2 linked regions of the Tamandua tetradactyla genome follow. The protein of the gene in region 1 binds, or shares a complex with, the protein of each later gene. Links are inferred from orthologs where the notes say so. Each region holds a gene or a part of one and is shown on either strand. Other genes may lie near its edges.

Region 1 (8,033 bases):
ATGCTCACTGAGAGGTTAATGCACACTCTCCTTGCTTCTGCACTCTACATTCACCTGTTCCACATGTTGCAGTGTCTTCCCTTTATCTATTTACATGACAGTCTCAGGCAGCCTGTCAGGTTTAACTGTATTTTAGGCATTACCTGTGTGCCCAGCACTGTGCTATGGACTGGAAAGAATTAAGGGGTGGTCTCCACCTTCCTCAGAGAAGCTCAGGGTCTAATGTAAAAGAGCAATCCCCCCCCCCCCCCCAAAATAAAGGTCAGTCAAAGAGGTCATTTTCATTTTAATAAAATGTGGTAAGAGCCATGACAGCAGTATTTGTAGGCTGCTTCAGTAACAACTTCTCATAACATCCTTGAGAGGCAGGGAAGGAGATAACCAGACTTGCAGTGAGCCAGGCAAAGAATGGGGACAGATTATTCAGAGAGGAGGGTCAGGCCAAGAAAAGGAAAGGAGGCATGAAAGTATAGAGTCTGTGTGGGGAAAAAATGAAAAGGAGCCTATGTGGTTGCAGATACAGGGCACAACAGTACACTGATAATTGGCTGAAGAGAGGCAGGGCCTTCAAGGCCAAGGACTTGACTTACTGGGGAATGAATGATGTGGACAGACCTCAACTCTGAGTCCAGCCCTGTCATAGTTGTCAGTCTGGCTCTAGTACCCAAAGTGTTGAGCTTTTTCTGCACAAGTGGTTTGTCTTCATCTGGGTATGGGCCCCACAGAACCAACTGGAACTTCATTTTGTGTTCTAGTTGCAAAAAAGTTTTGATTAAGGGCCCACGGGATCAATTATAGACTTCCGGTCTCCATTTCAGGTCACTACCCTTGTTTTTCTTTTTTCTCACCTTCTTCTAATTTATATCATCTTGTATTTTATACCCAGAAAAGCTGCCGTAGGTCTTTTCTTTTTTTAAAGTGTATAATAAATAACAAGTCATTCTGGAGTTGGCATAATGGATGAATTTGAAGAGGGAAAACCTGACAGCAGGGAATGAGTGGAATGAGCAATAGTCCAGATGAGAGATGATGAATGGCTGGAGGTGGTTTGTGTACAGGCAATAATAGAAATTGTGAGCAGAAGAGGGAGTTCAAGAAGAGTGGTAAGAGAACTGTAAAACGCACAGATATTTAAGGATTGGACAGAGAAAGAGTCCAAGGACACAGCGTAGGTATAGAGAGGTAAGGGAAGAACCATGGGAAATAGTGACTTAACAGCCCAGGGAACATAGAGCACTGGGCAAAGAGCTGGCAAGTATAACATAAAGGCTGCAATGTCTATTGAAGACATGAGCTAATGTCTTTCTTTTGTATCCATCTCTGCATCTCTCCACAACTAGTGGAAGGCCTGGCACACAGAGCTATCCTTCAGTTATCTTTGAATGATAGGTATTTATTTTCCACTTTAATCCACAAACGATATATAGGAGCACATGGTCAAAACTATTTTGTAAATATAAATAAAATGATTCCTCTGCTGTATGAATCAAGCCAAGGTAGGGAAACACCTCCAAGCACCTTGCTACTCAAAACATGGTTCAAGGACCAGCAGCATCAGCATCTCCTGAGAGCCCAATGGACATGCAAATCCTCAGAGCTACTGAATCAGAAGCTGCATTTTTAGCCCAGGTGATCTGCCAGCACAGTCAGGTTTGAGAATCAATGCTCTAGGAATAGGAAAAACCACTTTGCAAATGTGTCTCAGAAATAAACACTGGGCTCACTGCTTTCTTAGTCCTCAACTACAAGCTGACATTTTAACCTTTTAATTCAACCAACAAGACTGTCCTATAAATTAATTCTTACACTGTCAATGAATGTCAACATTGGCTGCACAAAGAATCACATGGGGATTTAAAAAGCAGATGCCTACAAGTTCCACCTCTAGAAATTCTGAGGAAATTGACCTGGGCATCTTTATTTTTTATTCTAACATGCAGTTAAGATTGAAACAACACGTGGCCCATGACTTTGAAAAGGGGTTTCTCAACTTGACCTCGAGTCTGACCTATGCTGAAGCAGTAGTTCTTAATCATTATTGCACTTCATTCACCTGAGGAACTTAAAATAAAAAATTATACCAGGGATTCATTCCAGAGGAGAGAATCAGAATTGGGGTTGGGGTGGGGGGAGGTGATATTTTTTAAAGTTACCCAGGTGATTTGAATGTGCAGGTGAAGTTGTGCTCTATGGAGAGTTTCAGTCTCATAGATAAGAAAGCTAAATACTACTTGTTTCCTATTCTTGGTTCCAGGACGTCTAGAAACAGGCAAAAAAAAGATGCCATAAGGAAAAATTAGGACAGAAATTCAGGGAGAAAACAGCTCTGGAGAAGGCTGTGGACCAGTGTGCCTTAGTCTTTGCATATCATTGACCTTCTCTTAGAAAGCTACCATGGTTTTTATATTACCACTAGAGCTAACATATTCCAATATTTTGGGAGCTTACCAAGCACCTCGCTGCTGCTCCGTAAGGCAGAGACTAGTATTCCAATTTTATTCGGATTGAGGCTTAGAGAGGTTACGAGACCTAGCCAAAGTTTCAGTAAGTGGCAGCGAGAATTCGAACCCAGGGATCTGTGCTCTTCTTCGTAATCACTAGGCCACCCGCCTCGGGGCAGATGAGACAAGCGCCGTTAGGCAGCGGGGGTGGCAGCGAGCCAGACACCCCTGGAGTCACTCTCGCCTGCACCTGGAGCGGCCCCGTGGCCCCCGGTCGGCCCGCCCCCAACTCCCGAGCGGGCAGGGTGCCTGACCCCTGCCGGGCCCCAGCAAAGTCACCGCTAGTTACCTGCGCCAGCACCAAGACCGGCTGTGGAGCCGCAGGCCTCGTCCGGATCCCTGAGGGGCACAGGGCTGTGCTGAGCGGTCGGGCCGCACCTAGCGTACCGGCCCGGGGCAGCGGCGTGAAAGCCGCGGACAGGCGACGGACACAGGCTGAAAGGACACGAGCCGCCATGACTACGCCGACCCAGGATGCACTGCGCTGTTGTCTCAGGCTCAGATTTCTTTTATCGCGAGGCGCAGGGGCCGGACAGAGCCACGCGGTCGGGCGCCGCCGGCTGGGGCGGCTCCTGGCGGTACTGCGCCCTGGGAGCCGCGCTGCTCGGCCACGCTGGTTCAGAGGCCACAGGTGCAAAACTGCGCAGGTAGGGTCTTTCCCTAAAAATTAGTAGTTAACAGAGAAAGGTACTATTTTTACTTATCTGAAAGTTCTGAAATACATTTATATAAAGGTTTGATGCCGTGGTTCTCCCATAGGTATTCAGACTTATTTAATAAGTCAAAAACTCAGATGGTACAAAATAAGAATGTGAAAAAATAAGAATCAGTGTAAATATGTAAGACTAATAAATGTGGTATTACAATAAAAACAGGAACACGTTTTAAAGTTTGACAATGTATAAATAACACAGTTTAACAAAAATGGGAAATGGGGAGAAGTTGAAGTATTCTGCTTATTTGCTCCTATTTCTTAGTTGAAAGCCTAAGGATGTTGGTAGAAATTGAAACAACTCCCATCTCTGAGGACTGCCTGGATGAATGTAACAATGCCGTCGGTTTTTCTTCAGTTAAATTCAAGTAAACTTTTGTTAAATTCAAGTAAAATAAAATGTAATGCTTGTCATTTAAAGTAGAATGCATAGTATGATCACACGATTGTAAAATTATTTTATCTATGCATTCAGTAAAAATTATTGCGTAGATCTGTTATGTGCTAGTAGCTGAGGCTATCAGTGGACAAACCAGACTGTAGTCCAGTCTCCTGGAGTTTGCATTCTAGTGAGAAGAGATAGACAATAATAAGTAAACCACACACACCTGTCCCCACTCTCCCTGCCCCCCAAAACAACAACAACAACAAAACCCCAATCCTCCAGGAAGTAGTGATAAGTACCATGAAGAAAAAGAAAGCAGAGAAGGGGATAATGAGGGAGTTCAGAGCTCTTATTTTAGAAAGGGTGGGCCCTGAAGGTGTCTCTTAGGAAAGAATGTTTGAGCTGAGACCTTAATGGATCAGGGGAGGGAAAACAGAACCTCAAGAATCACTCTGCAGCTGGTGATGCCAACGAAAGTCCTTACAGCAGTGCTGGCAGTTCATGGCAGGCTTTTCCTGTATGCTGACTTCATCACGACCTCACTGTTTATTAGCAGTAAGAAGAGCAATTGTATCACCTCTTTGGGATGACCAAAGGCTGTTGAGTTGGCAGCCTTCCATTTCTGTGGAAAACTGACTGACTCCAAATCTCTGTTTGAACCTGGGACCAGGGCACATAGGATCCGCTTGGGTCAACAGTGACATGCCAGCTTCTGATTCCTCCCTCCAGGTCACACCCTGGAGTTTGGACAGATCCATAGTGGCGCCTGCAGAATAAGGGGGTATGCTCAGAAAGACCCTGATAGCCTACTACATCTGCTCTTTGCACTATCTCTTCCCCGTGACCATCAAAAATAATACATCACTTTGCATTTAAATGGTTTGTTGGTTGGGATAGCTGCTTTTACTTTTAGCAAACACATGAAGAGAAAATGCTAGCCTACATGGTCTGTAGGGTAAAAGGTATAATATTAAGATTGATGTCAAATCCTTAGCAGCTGGGGAAGATTTAAGAGAGGATATGGTACTTTTCTTTAACACTCTGTGTGCCATCAAAGGATGTTGTATTAGTTCGGGTTCTCTAGAGAAACAGAATCAACAGGGAACACTTGCAAATATAAAATTTATAAAAGTGTCTCACGTGACTGCAGGAACGCAGGGTCCAAAATCTACAGGGCAGGCTGTGAACCCGACGAATCCAATGGATGGTCTGGATGAACTCCACAGGAGAGGCTCACCAGCGGAAGCAGGAATGGGACCTGTCTCCTTTGAGTCCTCCTTAAAAAGCTTCCCGTGATTAGATATAGCATCACTAATTGTAGAAGACACTCCCCTTTGGCTGATTACAAATGGAATCAACTGACGTGATCATGACCTAATCCTATGAAATGTCCTCATTGCAACAGACAGGCCAGCACTTGCCCAATCAGATAAACAGGTACCACAACTTGGCCAAGTTGACACATGTCCCTAACCATGACAGTCCACCCCTTGTCAACTTGGCACCTATATATATATATCACCTTAAACCATACTTAATTTCCAAATGAAAACAAATAAGCACAAATTTTTTTCTTTTTCCTAACAATACTCAACTATCCTGCATATAACTGGAAACACATTAAATCTCTCCAGAATAGGGTGCAAATCCTTGGGCAACATTCATTCTTAAACTTGATATCTTACAACTTAAATAGTATAACATGAACAAAACAGCATTACAGTCCTCGTTTCTGTAACTGATCACGTGGTTGAAGTTCATATTTATCACTACCTTCTTCCACTACTCATCCCATGTTCCCTTTACCCTCAGGAAGCACTTCAGCTGACCGTGGTTCTTTGCCTAGTGGGGTGACTCAAATCTTCATTCCTGAAGTTTCAGAGCCAATAGTAGCCTTGCCTGGATTGTGTTGTTGCAGTTTTCCATTGATTTTAATCACAGGGCATGGTAGTACTAATAGATGCTGTATTAGTTAGGGTTCTCTAGAGAAACAGAATCAACAGGGAACACTTGCAAATATAAAATTTATGAAAGTGTCTCACGTGACCGTAGGAACGCAGAGTCCAAAATCCACAGGGCAGGCTGCGAAGCCGATGACTCCGATGGATGGCCTGGATGAACTCCACAGGAGAGGCTCACCAGCCAAAGCAGGAATGGAACCTGTCTCCTCTGAGTCCTCCTTAAAAGGCTTCCCATGATTGCATTTAGCATCACTAATTGCAGAAGACACTCCCCTTTGGCTGATTACAAATGGAATTAGCTGTGGATGTAGCTGATGTGATCATGACCTAATCCTATGAAATGTCCTCATTGCAACGGACAGGCCAGCGCTTGCCCAATCAGATGAACAGGTACCACAACTTGGCCAAGTTGACACCTGTCCCTAACCATGACAGATGCCCTAGGGGATCTCCTATATTCCAAGAAAACTCTTCTTTACCTCCATTATGTAGTTGCAGTCCGACGTCCTTCTGATAGTCAGGGTCAGTTACCCCAGACAATAATGTAATCTCCTTCTTGGCTTGTTGATCCAGAGGTATAAGTAGCCCAAAGTGACCAGGTGGCAACCTTAACTTCCAGTTCAGTGGTATCATTGTTGTTTCTCCTGGAGAAAGCACACCCCGTTTTGGAACTAAAACCTATAGACCAGCAGAGCTCAGGGTAGCAGGGACAGGAAGCAAAAATTTTCCTAGTGGATCACTAGGCGTAATAGTGAGTGGTACCACACCCATTTCCACCCCTTGGTTCCTGGACCCATGGATCCTGGTTATGGGAGAAACAGCACCATACAGCGGACGCTGATTCAGAGCATACACAGCTTCCTGGAGAACATTACCCCAGCCTTTCAAGTTTTTGCCACCTAGTTGGTACCGTAATTGAGTTTTCAAAAGGCCATTCCACCGTTCTATCAATCCAGCTGCTTCTGGATGATGGGGAACATGGTAAGACCAGAGAATTCCATGAGCATGTGCCCATTCCCGCACTTCATTTGCTGTGAAGTGTGTTCCTTGATCCGAAGCAATGCTATGTGGAATACCACGACGATGGATAAGGCATTCTGTAAGCCCACGGATGGTAGTTTTGGCAGAAGCATTGCGTGCAGGGAAAGCAAACCCATATCCAGAGTATGTGTCTATTCCAGTTAGAACAAATCGCTGCCCCTTCCATGAAGGGAGTGGTCCAATGTAATCAACCTGCCACCATGTAGCTGGCTGGTCATCTCGGGGAATGGTGCCATATTGGGGGCTGAGTGTGGGTCTCTGCTGCTGGCAGATTGGGCATTCAGCAGTGGCTGATGGCAGGTCAGCCTTGGTGAGTGGAAGTCCATGTTGCTGAGCCCATGCATAACCTCCATCCCTACCACCATGACCACTTTGTTCATGAGCCCATTGGGCAATGACAGGAGTTGCTGGGGATAGATGCTGACTGGTATCCACAGAACGGGTTATCTTATCCACTTGATTATTAAAACCTTCCTCTGCTGAAGTCACCCTCTGGTGTGCCTTCACATGGGACACAAATATCTTCATATTTTTAGCCCACTCAGAAAGGTCTATCTACATACTTCTTCCCCAGACCTCTTTGTCACCAATTTTCCAATTATGCTCTTTCCAAGTCCCTGACCATCCAGCCAAACCATTATCAATAGCTCATGAGTCAGTATACAAACGCACCTCTGGCCAGTTTTCCTTCCAAGCAAAATGAACAACCAGGTGCACTGCTCAAAGTTCTGCCCACTGGGAGGATTTCCCCTCACCACTGTCCTTCAAGGACACCCCAGAAAGGGGTTGTAATGCTGCAGCTGTCCACTTTGGGGTGGTACCTGCATATCGTGCTGAACCATCTGTAAACCAGGCCCGAATTTTCTCTTCCTCAGTCAATTCACTGTAAGGAACTCCCCAAGAGGCCATAGCTCTGGTCTGGGAAAGAGAACGTAATGTGGCAGGAGTGGAAATCATGGGCATTTGTGCCACTTCTTCATGTAACTTACTTGTGCCTTGGACAGGGCCCAGCACAAAATAGGCCCTTAATACGTCAATGGACTCAGATAGAAAAGCTGCTTCTTAAACCGTTTTCGCTAGCAATTTCTCATTCTTTCATTAGCCTGCAACTGTCCTCTCCACTCGCTATGGGTTATACGATCCTCACATCTAAAAGACAAAAGCAACCAGGAAAGCAATCCTAATCATAGTGATATCTGTAATGCGTTTTGCTTTTTTTTTTTTTTTTGCTGGACAGAAGGTGCTTTATTGACAAGTGGGGGTTCAGGTGTCCACAGCAGCTGTGATTGGATCTCACAGAAGGCCTGCTTCTCCACGAGTTTCACTTTGTATTTTTACTTGAACTTAGCTCTCTCCTAGTTTCAAATAGAGTATCTCCTCTGAATCTCACAACAACAAGGTGAGATCATATATTATTTACTTTATCGTATAGA
Region 2 (7,140 bases), on another chromosome or scaffold:
ATATCCTTGAAATCTGCAAAATATGACCTTAATACAAAAGAAGGATGTATTTTATAATAGGTTTATTTTAGGACATGATCCTAGTAAGAATCTCAGGTCTTAGGGTCATGATTTCAGGAAAAAGTATAAAATTTGTATAAAAAGTATAAAAGTATAAAATGATTAATAGATTCTTTTGGACAGTACATTTATATCTGAATAATAAACCTAGCTCAAAGGCATATCCTTGAAGCATAATTTGAACTTTTTCCTAAATGTTTATTAGCTTATAGTTGCTCCCACTAAAATTCTTTTTTCAATTTTCTGCCTACTAGATATAGCCTTCAAAGACCTTGCAGCTTCCCACTGTGGACTTGGCATTAATTCACTTGGACAAACCTAGACTTATCTGTTGATTTCACCAGTGGGCTCATAAATCATTTCCAAATGGAATTTTAGAAATGGAAGGGTCATTAGAGATTATTTAGTTCAACAGCCTAATTTTATGAACAAGAAACCTGAACTACAGTGAGGCTGGGAGAAAGGTCAAGGTTATACACTCTTCCAGGGCTTCTATCACAGTGTGTGAACCGTGAACTGATTTCCAGTCCTTGTTTATTCTGAATCTATTTAGATGACAAAATATCTTCTTCCAGACTGTGGCCAGAATGACTGGTTTCTACTTTTTCACATGCATACTTAGTGATTTCCTTGATAGTCATGGTGTTGTGTTTAATTTTTGTTAAAATTTCCATCAGTATGTCTAGTGTTCATAGCCTTTACCTTCCAAAGCCAAAGTCGTTGAATAAAACCATGTTCTCTGTTGGGGACTGACTCATGTTCCCCCAGAAAGGCATGTTTGGGTCTGTGGCCTGTGGGTGTGAACCTATTTGTAAAGAAGACCTTTGAAGATACCATCAGTTAACATGTGCTCATATTGAGGGAGGGTGAGCCTTAATCTAATAGGGCTGAATTCCTTTTAAGTAAAGGAAATTGGACATGGAAAAGGGAGCCATGGGGAGCAGCCAGAAGTGAATGGAACCCAGAAGAGAAAGAAGATGCTGCCCATACGCACTGCCATAGAAAAGGCAAGGACCAAGGATTACTGGCAGCCAGCCCTAGAATGTCAGTCTCTGTGTAGAAAGTGCCCTGTTGATTCCTGAATTTCTCTCTTAACCTCCACATCATGGGGCAACAAATTCCTGTTGTTAAGCCAACACATTGTATGCTATTAGTGCTAGCAGCTAGGAAACTAACACCTGCCATATGAAAGTTTCTTTTAACCACTTGACTGGGTGACTATGACCTCATGTCCAAGATGTTGTTCTCAAGTTTACAGGAGGAGTACCCTTTCTATGCAGGTTTCTAACATTTAGAGAGAGTCACTGTTTGAGAGGCTTAAGTGTTTCTGCCTACTAAGTGATGTTGTACTAGATCTAACAATTACAGGTAGGGGCAAGCATCAGCTCCTATGACAGGGAATCCAGAGGCTGGGCAGTCACCTAAAAGGAGGCCTGGTTTAAAGAGATGAGCTGGTCCTATCAGATTCTTCCTCTTGGGAATATGATTCAGACTCTGAGAGAATCTCTACATTTATATAGCATTAATGATTGGCTAGAAGTTATGAGGAGCCAGAAAACATGAGAAGCTGAGGCTCTAAGGTAGAGAAAAGATAGATATACACAAAGTGTAAGAAAAAGGGACTTGCGAGCATACAAACAGAATAGGGTAAACCTTGAAGGAGTGAGTGTGCAACATTAAGGATCGGTTACTAGATTAAGAATCACATTCTCATGCTGCTTAGGTTTTCTAAGCTGTATTCAGGTCTGCTGTCGTCAGGATAAACTAATGTTTCTGCTTCTACAAGCTGGTGAGAACTCTGTTTCCCTTACAGATACTGATATATTAGCTTCCTCACCTTTACTCCTTGCCCTCACCAATATCCTAACGAAAACGAATTTCGTTCACGCAGCTGAAAGAGCTAATTAAGACATCTAGGAAAGAAAAGGGATGGCCAACGCGAGCCTTCATCTTTATGGATCTGTCCCACCGGCCGGTAACTTCCACTGTCAACTGTTCAACTTCTATGAAAAGTTCTATACATTAAGAAACCTGGTCTTCAGTCTGTCGCTTACAGCTTCCACGTTCATCGTTTTCATGGCAGAAAAGGAACACTAACTGTGCCCCGAGAGCACAATGTCACAAGACTTGGACATCATCCCGCTGATAAGGAAGGGCAAACCCACTGCTACTCACCCCGAGGTCTTAAGGGGCACACTCCTCGGCTGAGGGACCCTTCCCGCGATTGTCCTGAGGACGCCGGCACATGGGTTCCATGCACCCCGGACATTCCTGGGAACCCCCGGCCCCTCCCGGCCCCTCCCAGCCCCATCCCGGTCCCCGCAGCTCCGCCCGTCGGGTCACCTGTAATTGTAGGCGCTGAAATGCTTGCTTTCTCGCAGCATCGCCCGGTAAAGATCTAAAACCTGTGCACGACTGGAGGCTGCCATTTTGGACAGGGGGGCGGAAAAAAAAGTAAACGGGTCCTCTTCGTAGAAGTCCCGCGTCTACCGCAAACCACCAAATTTCCGCCTTTGCAAAACAAAACAAAACAAAACAAAAAACAAACCCACGAAGGAAATGAAATAGAGCGCGTTGTTTTCGCTGGCGGGCGGCGGGCCTCAGGCTGCGTCTGCAGAGCGCGACGGCCTTGCCAATCTCTGAAGGCGCCCAGGAGGCCCGTGCCCTCCCGAGGAAGGCCGCAGGCAGGGCCGGGGCAGCTAAGGGGCGCGGCCGGGTGGGGCGGCGGACGGAGCTCCAGGACAACCAGGTTGGAAAAAGGTCTAGGGCTGCGAAGGCGGGACGGGCGGCCTTTGGGGGGGCCGCCCGCACCCAGCCGCCTTCTTGATAACCGCGGGTGGAGGCTAGGCCGTGAGGGCGAGCATCGACCAGGATGCCTTTTAGCTGACCGCCCCGAGTCGCGGAGGAGACGTTTTTTTCTGGGGACGCATCGCGCGGAGGAACTTCGGTGAGTCCCGGAGCTACCTAAGACAACCCCGGAGTGCGTTGCCTGGGTTACCAAGCACGCCCCGGCGCCCCGCCCCCTGCCTCCGAAGCCCCGCCCCCTGCCTCCGACGTCTTACCCCCAGCCAAACGCCCGCTCTTGGGAAAGCGCCGCCCCCGGCCGTCGATGCCCCGCCCCGTTGGCCACGGCCGCCCTCGGCGCTGCCTGAATGGCGGTGCTCGGGGCTGTTTCTGGGATCTGCGTTTCCGCCGAGGCCTGTCTGCGGGCCTGGGCCGTGGGGCACTCGTCGCGTGCAGGGACAGGGCTCGGGGGGCTCGGAGGGCACGGGCTGGGGGCTCCGTTTCGCTCCGGCTCTGCTTAGGGCGACAGGCTAAGGTGCCTCCGGCGTAGGGCCCACATTTTGTCAAAATGGCCGCGCCCTGCGTGCAGGAGCGGCTCTGAACTGGGTGCGTTAAGTCCCTTCTCGCTACGAGCGAATAGGCCTGCTGCGCTTCTGACTCTGACCTCCCCCAGATCCGGGTTTTCCGGGGCGAGCGGTGGGTGAGTGCCGGCCTCACTGCAGCTTGGGGACGCAACGCTGGCGGTTGGTTTGGGAGGGAGTTAGCACCTGGTCGTGGATATTCCCGTTTTAGCTTCATATTTTAGGCTCTCAAGTTTTTGCTTTTGAATCCCTCAGAGTTTTGTAATTTAATAAATGCATAAAACGGCGGGAGGCCTGAACTCAAAATTTGGGCGACTGATTGGGGACCTTTAGGGTTTTAGGGATTCCTGGAATCATTTCAGACCCAAGGCCAGAAGCCGAGCAAGTTTTACCTGAAGCTTTTCGTGGAAAAGTTTTCTTCAGTGGCCTTTGTCATAAGACTTCAGCTTTTCTGAATAACGTCTTTAGAAGTGGTGGATAAAGTTGCTCTTCCTGATTCTTGAGCGTGGGACTGGGTGCAGGGAAGCCTGAGCGAGTTCTGGAAATGGTGTTGCAGAACACCTCACTTATTCTGAGTCTTCCTGCATATGATCAACGTTAGGAACAATCACAGCTTCCTGTCCCAAAACACTGGGAGGAGTAACTTCATGCGTAAAAACAAACAAGGGCGCATTGACACGCGTCTTTTTTCAACCACCGAGCTATGGCTATGTTCTTATCTCTTCTAGATTTGAAACTATTACTCAGCACCCAAATTGTGGACATTTGTTCCGTATCAAAGCAAGCTCCTATTTCCAGGAATTTTAAGGGCAGAAAATATTTCTCTGACTCTACCAATACCTTAGTCTACTTGCAACAGGCTGTCGGTGCATCCAGGTATACTTACTCGTCTTATTGCAATGACACTTAACAAAAAGGAATTGAAGAGAAAATGCTTTTAGTAAAATGCTTTTAATCCTCCTGTCTGATTTCTTTCTCATGCATCCACGTATCTTAAAATGGATTTTTTTAAAACTGAATAGCAGGACTTTTGTCATTCTTGCGGGTTGGTCAGGTTATTGGGTAAATCTTGCCTGGGATTTATTGAAGAGGCTTTTAATATTTTGTGTTTTCCGTTTTGATATTTCGTAAGCTATATTCAAGGCTAAGAAAAATACCTGGAAAAATACAGTGTTAATGCAAGTTACTGACAGAGAAAACTTATCAAAGTGAGAAGGAAAAAAACTGAAAATAATTTTGCTTTTTTACAAATACTGAGTATTGCATTATTTTACTCTATTTTGCGTTCATCTAGAAGATGAATTTGGCCTAATTGTTAACTTTCTACAATTATTCATGCCTAGTAGTTTTCAAGCAGTTTAATCAGTTTATTTAGATGACTTTTAGCTTTGTTGTAATCAAATAAAACTTTCCAAATAAATGGGTAAAATTTAAATAGTTTGCTTGAGTAGTCTAATTATTTGTTAGTGCAGTGAATGGTTGAGCAGTCATCAGTGAAGAAAGCTATAGTTTACCAACTAATTCTAAGCTAAGTTTTCCAAAAACATTTTATTATTTTGTTTGAAATGATTTACCGGAATGTTGGATGTCATTTTCTTGAAAGACTAATAAAAAAAATCACATAAGAAAGCTAAATCTTGTTTTTTGCACATTGCTATTGCAGAGATGAATTTTTTTTTGGGTGCATAGTCCAGAAATTGAACCCGGGTCTCCCACTTGGAAGGTGAGCCTTCTACCACTGAACCACTGATGCACCCTGACTCTTTTTAATAATAGCACTATTTGAGGTTGAAAGTGGAATTGCGCCAGAAGCTGTGAATGGACCTTGTTCATGTGTCCATTCTATTTTGGGCCAAGAAATTTCACAGATAAGTGAATCTAAACTAGGGGGTACTCCCTACTTTACTGTCACTTAGGCCTCAGAATATAAAACTTTCCTTATATTTACTATCCATAGTTAATACTTTAACCACCTATGTAAAATCATATATTACCTTGCATTAAAATTAGTATTGTCAATGAGCACTTAATGCTTTGTGAAATTTCTTCAAATGTAATAGACAGCATAATGGCAGTTTACTGTCCTTAAGTTGAAATATCAAAATGTGTAAAGAAAATCTTGTATAGAATAGCAACTTCTGATATTATCATTTAGATGTTATTTTACTCCATGCATGGATCTTTAAATCTTTATTTCCTCATTACTTTTATTTGTATTTCATCCTTATAGAATGATGAAATTGAAAGGGACCTTGCACATCAACTCTCATACTTTCAGGTGAACATTCCGAAGCCCTTTTTCTCGTTCATTCATTCAGCTTTTATTGAATACTTCCCAAGTGCAATGTGTTATACAAGATGATAGTTACAAGAGTTATACAAGATGATAGATATAAGAAGTTATGAGGGTCCATCCTTCTTGAGAGCAGTAGAGGACTGGATAAGAAAAGCAAGAATTTATTTTTGACCTGTGTTCTGATACGGTTATATCTTAATTTCCTTGGGCTGCCATAAAAAATTACCCCAAACTTGGTGGCTTAAAATAGCACAAATTTATTGTCTCACTGTTTTGGAGGCTGAAAGTCTCAATTCAAGGTTTTGAAAGGGCTGTGCTCCCTCTGAAGTGTATAGGGAAGCATCTGTTTCATGCCCCTCTACGGCTTCTGTTAGTGGCAATCCTTGGCAACAGAACTCCAGTTTCTGCCTCTGTCTTTCAGTATACTGGTGTCCATATTTTCCTCTTGTGAGGACACCAGTGTTATTTGATTAGGACTCACCCTAATCCGTTTTGGCCTCATTTTAATTAACTATGTAGTCAAAGATCCTATTTCCAAATAATATCATAGTCACAAACCAGGGGTTAGTTTCTTTTTTGGGGGACATAATTCAACCCATAGAACATTGTAGGGGAATACAGAAAAGAGGCATTCAACCAGGGCTTTGATATAAGGGAAGGCTTTTCAGTAGAGGTATTTCCAAAAATGAGTAATAAAGAAGAAGAATGTAATAAATTAGAGATTGCAGTGTATGTTCAAAGTATGGAGGCATGAGGGTGCAAGATTTATTTGGGGAACTTTTAAGTGGTTTGGAATGGGGAGGTGGGGTGAGGATAGGGACCATCTGTGAGTCCATAGAAGAGTTTAGCAGTGTCCTGCTTTATTTTAAGACTGCTTCTTCTTTTGGTGTGATGCCTTTTCTTTAAGGCATTAGGTAGTTCACCTAAGGCAACCTCTGAGCTGTTGACATGGAGATTAGTTTTCCAGATGTTGATAGGCTTGTGTTTCAAGCCATATTTTTGTGTCCTATATTCCAGGAACACTGAAATTTTGTTTATTTTATCTTTCTGTTCAACGGGTAGTTGATGAGCCTGTTAGTGCACACCACTGTTCTTGTGGTGACTTGGGGGCTAAAAATCAAACACAATTATTGTTCTTCAGGAGTTTACAGTTTAAATACAGTTTGTATGTAATTAAAATATGGGGCTGGAAGGAACAAGTGCTGTAAGGGAAGTACTGATGAAGTGCTATGGAGTCTTAGAGGAAGGAGGGGTTCCTCCAGTGACTGATGTCTGGGCCACACTTTATTAGCTGCGTAAAATCCCCTGAGGTCCAGGAAATTGTGCAGCCAGGGCCGAGAAACATTAATCTATGGAAGTTCATGGAGAAGGAAGTGCTGGTATTGGGTTTGGGGGGATTTAGTCTTGAGCTGGGCCTTG

What was found. The genes of interacting proteins can lie anywhere in the genome.
Region 2: the proteins of NDUFAB1 (region 1) and LYRM4 are in contact, whole or in part, in a crystal structure (PDB 6ODD), measured with the Homo sapiens proteins. The link is inferred for Tamandua tetradactyla from reciprocal best matches to the Homo sapiens genes NDUFAB1 and LYRM4. Residues at the interface, in NP_004994.1 of Homo sapiens: Lys92, Asp111, Ser112, Leu113, Asp114, Val116, Glu117, Met120, Glu123, Asp124, Glu129, Ile130, Asp132; in NP_065141.3 of Homo sapiens: Arg6, Leu10, Ser11, Tyr13, Arg14, Leu17, Arg18, Lys21, Arg37, Phe40, Arg41, Lys44.

The regions. Positions count from the first base shown.
Region 1 is NC_135349.1:33,482,390-33,490,422, reverse strand, and holds the start of NDUFAB1 (acyl carrier protein, mitochondrial), read right to left. Parts: upstream 3,003-8,033; 5' UTR 2,959-3,002; coding exon 2,791-2,958; intron 1-2,790. UniProt on the Homo sapiens protein: Carrier of the growing fatty acid chain in fatty acid biosynthesis.
Region 2 is NC_135351.1:7,650,343-7,657,482, forward strand, and holds the start of LYRM4 (LYR motif-containing protein 4), read right to left. Parts: upstream 3,076-7,140; 5' UTR 2,490-3,075; coding exon 2,404-2,489; intron 1-2,403.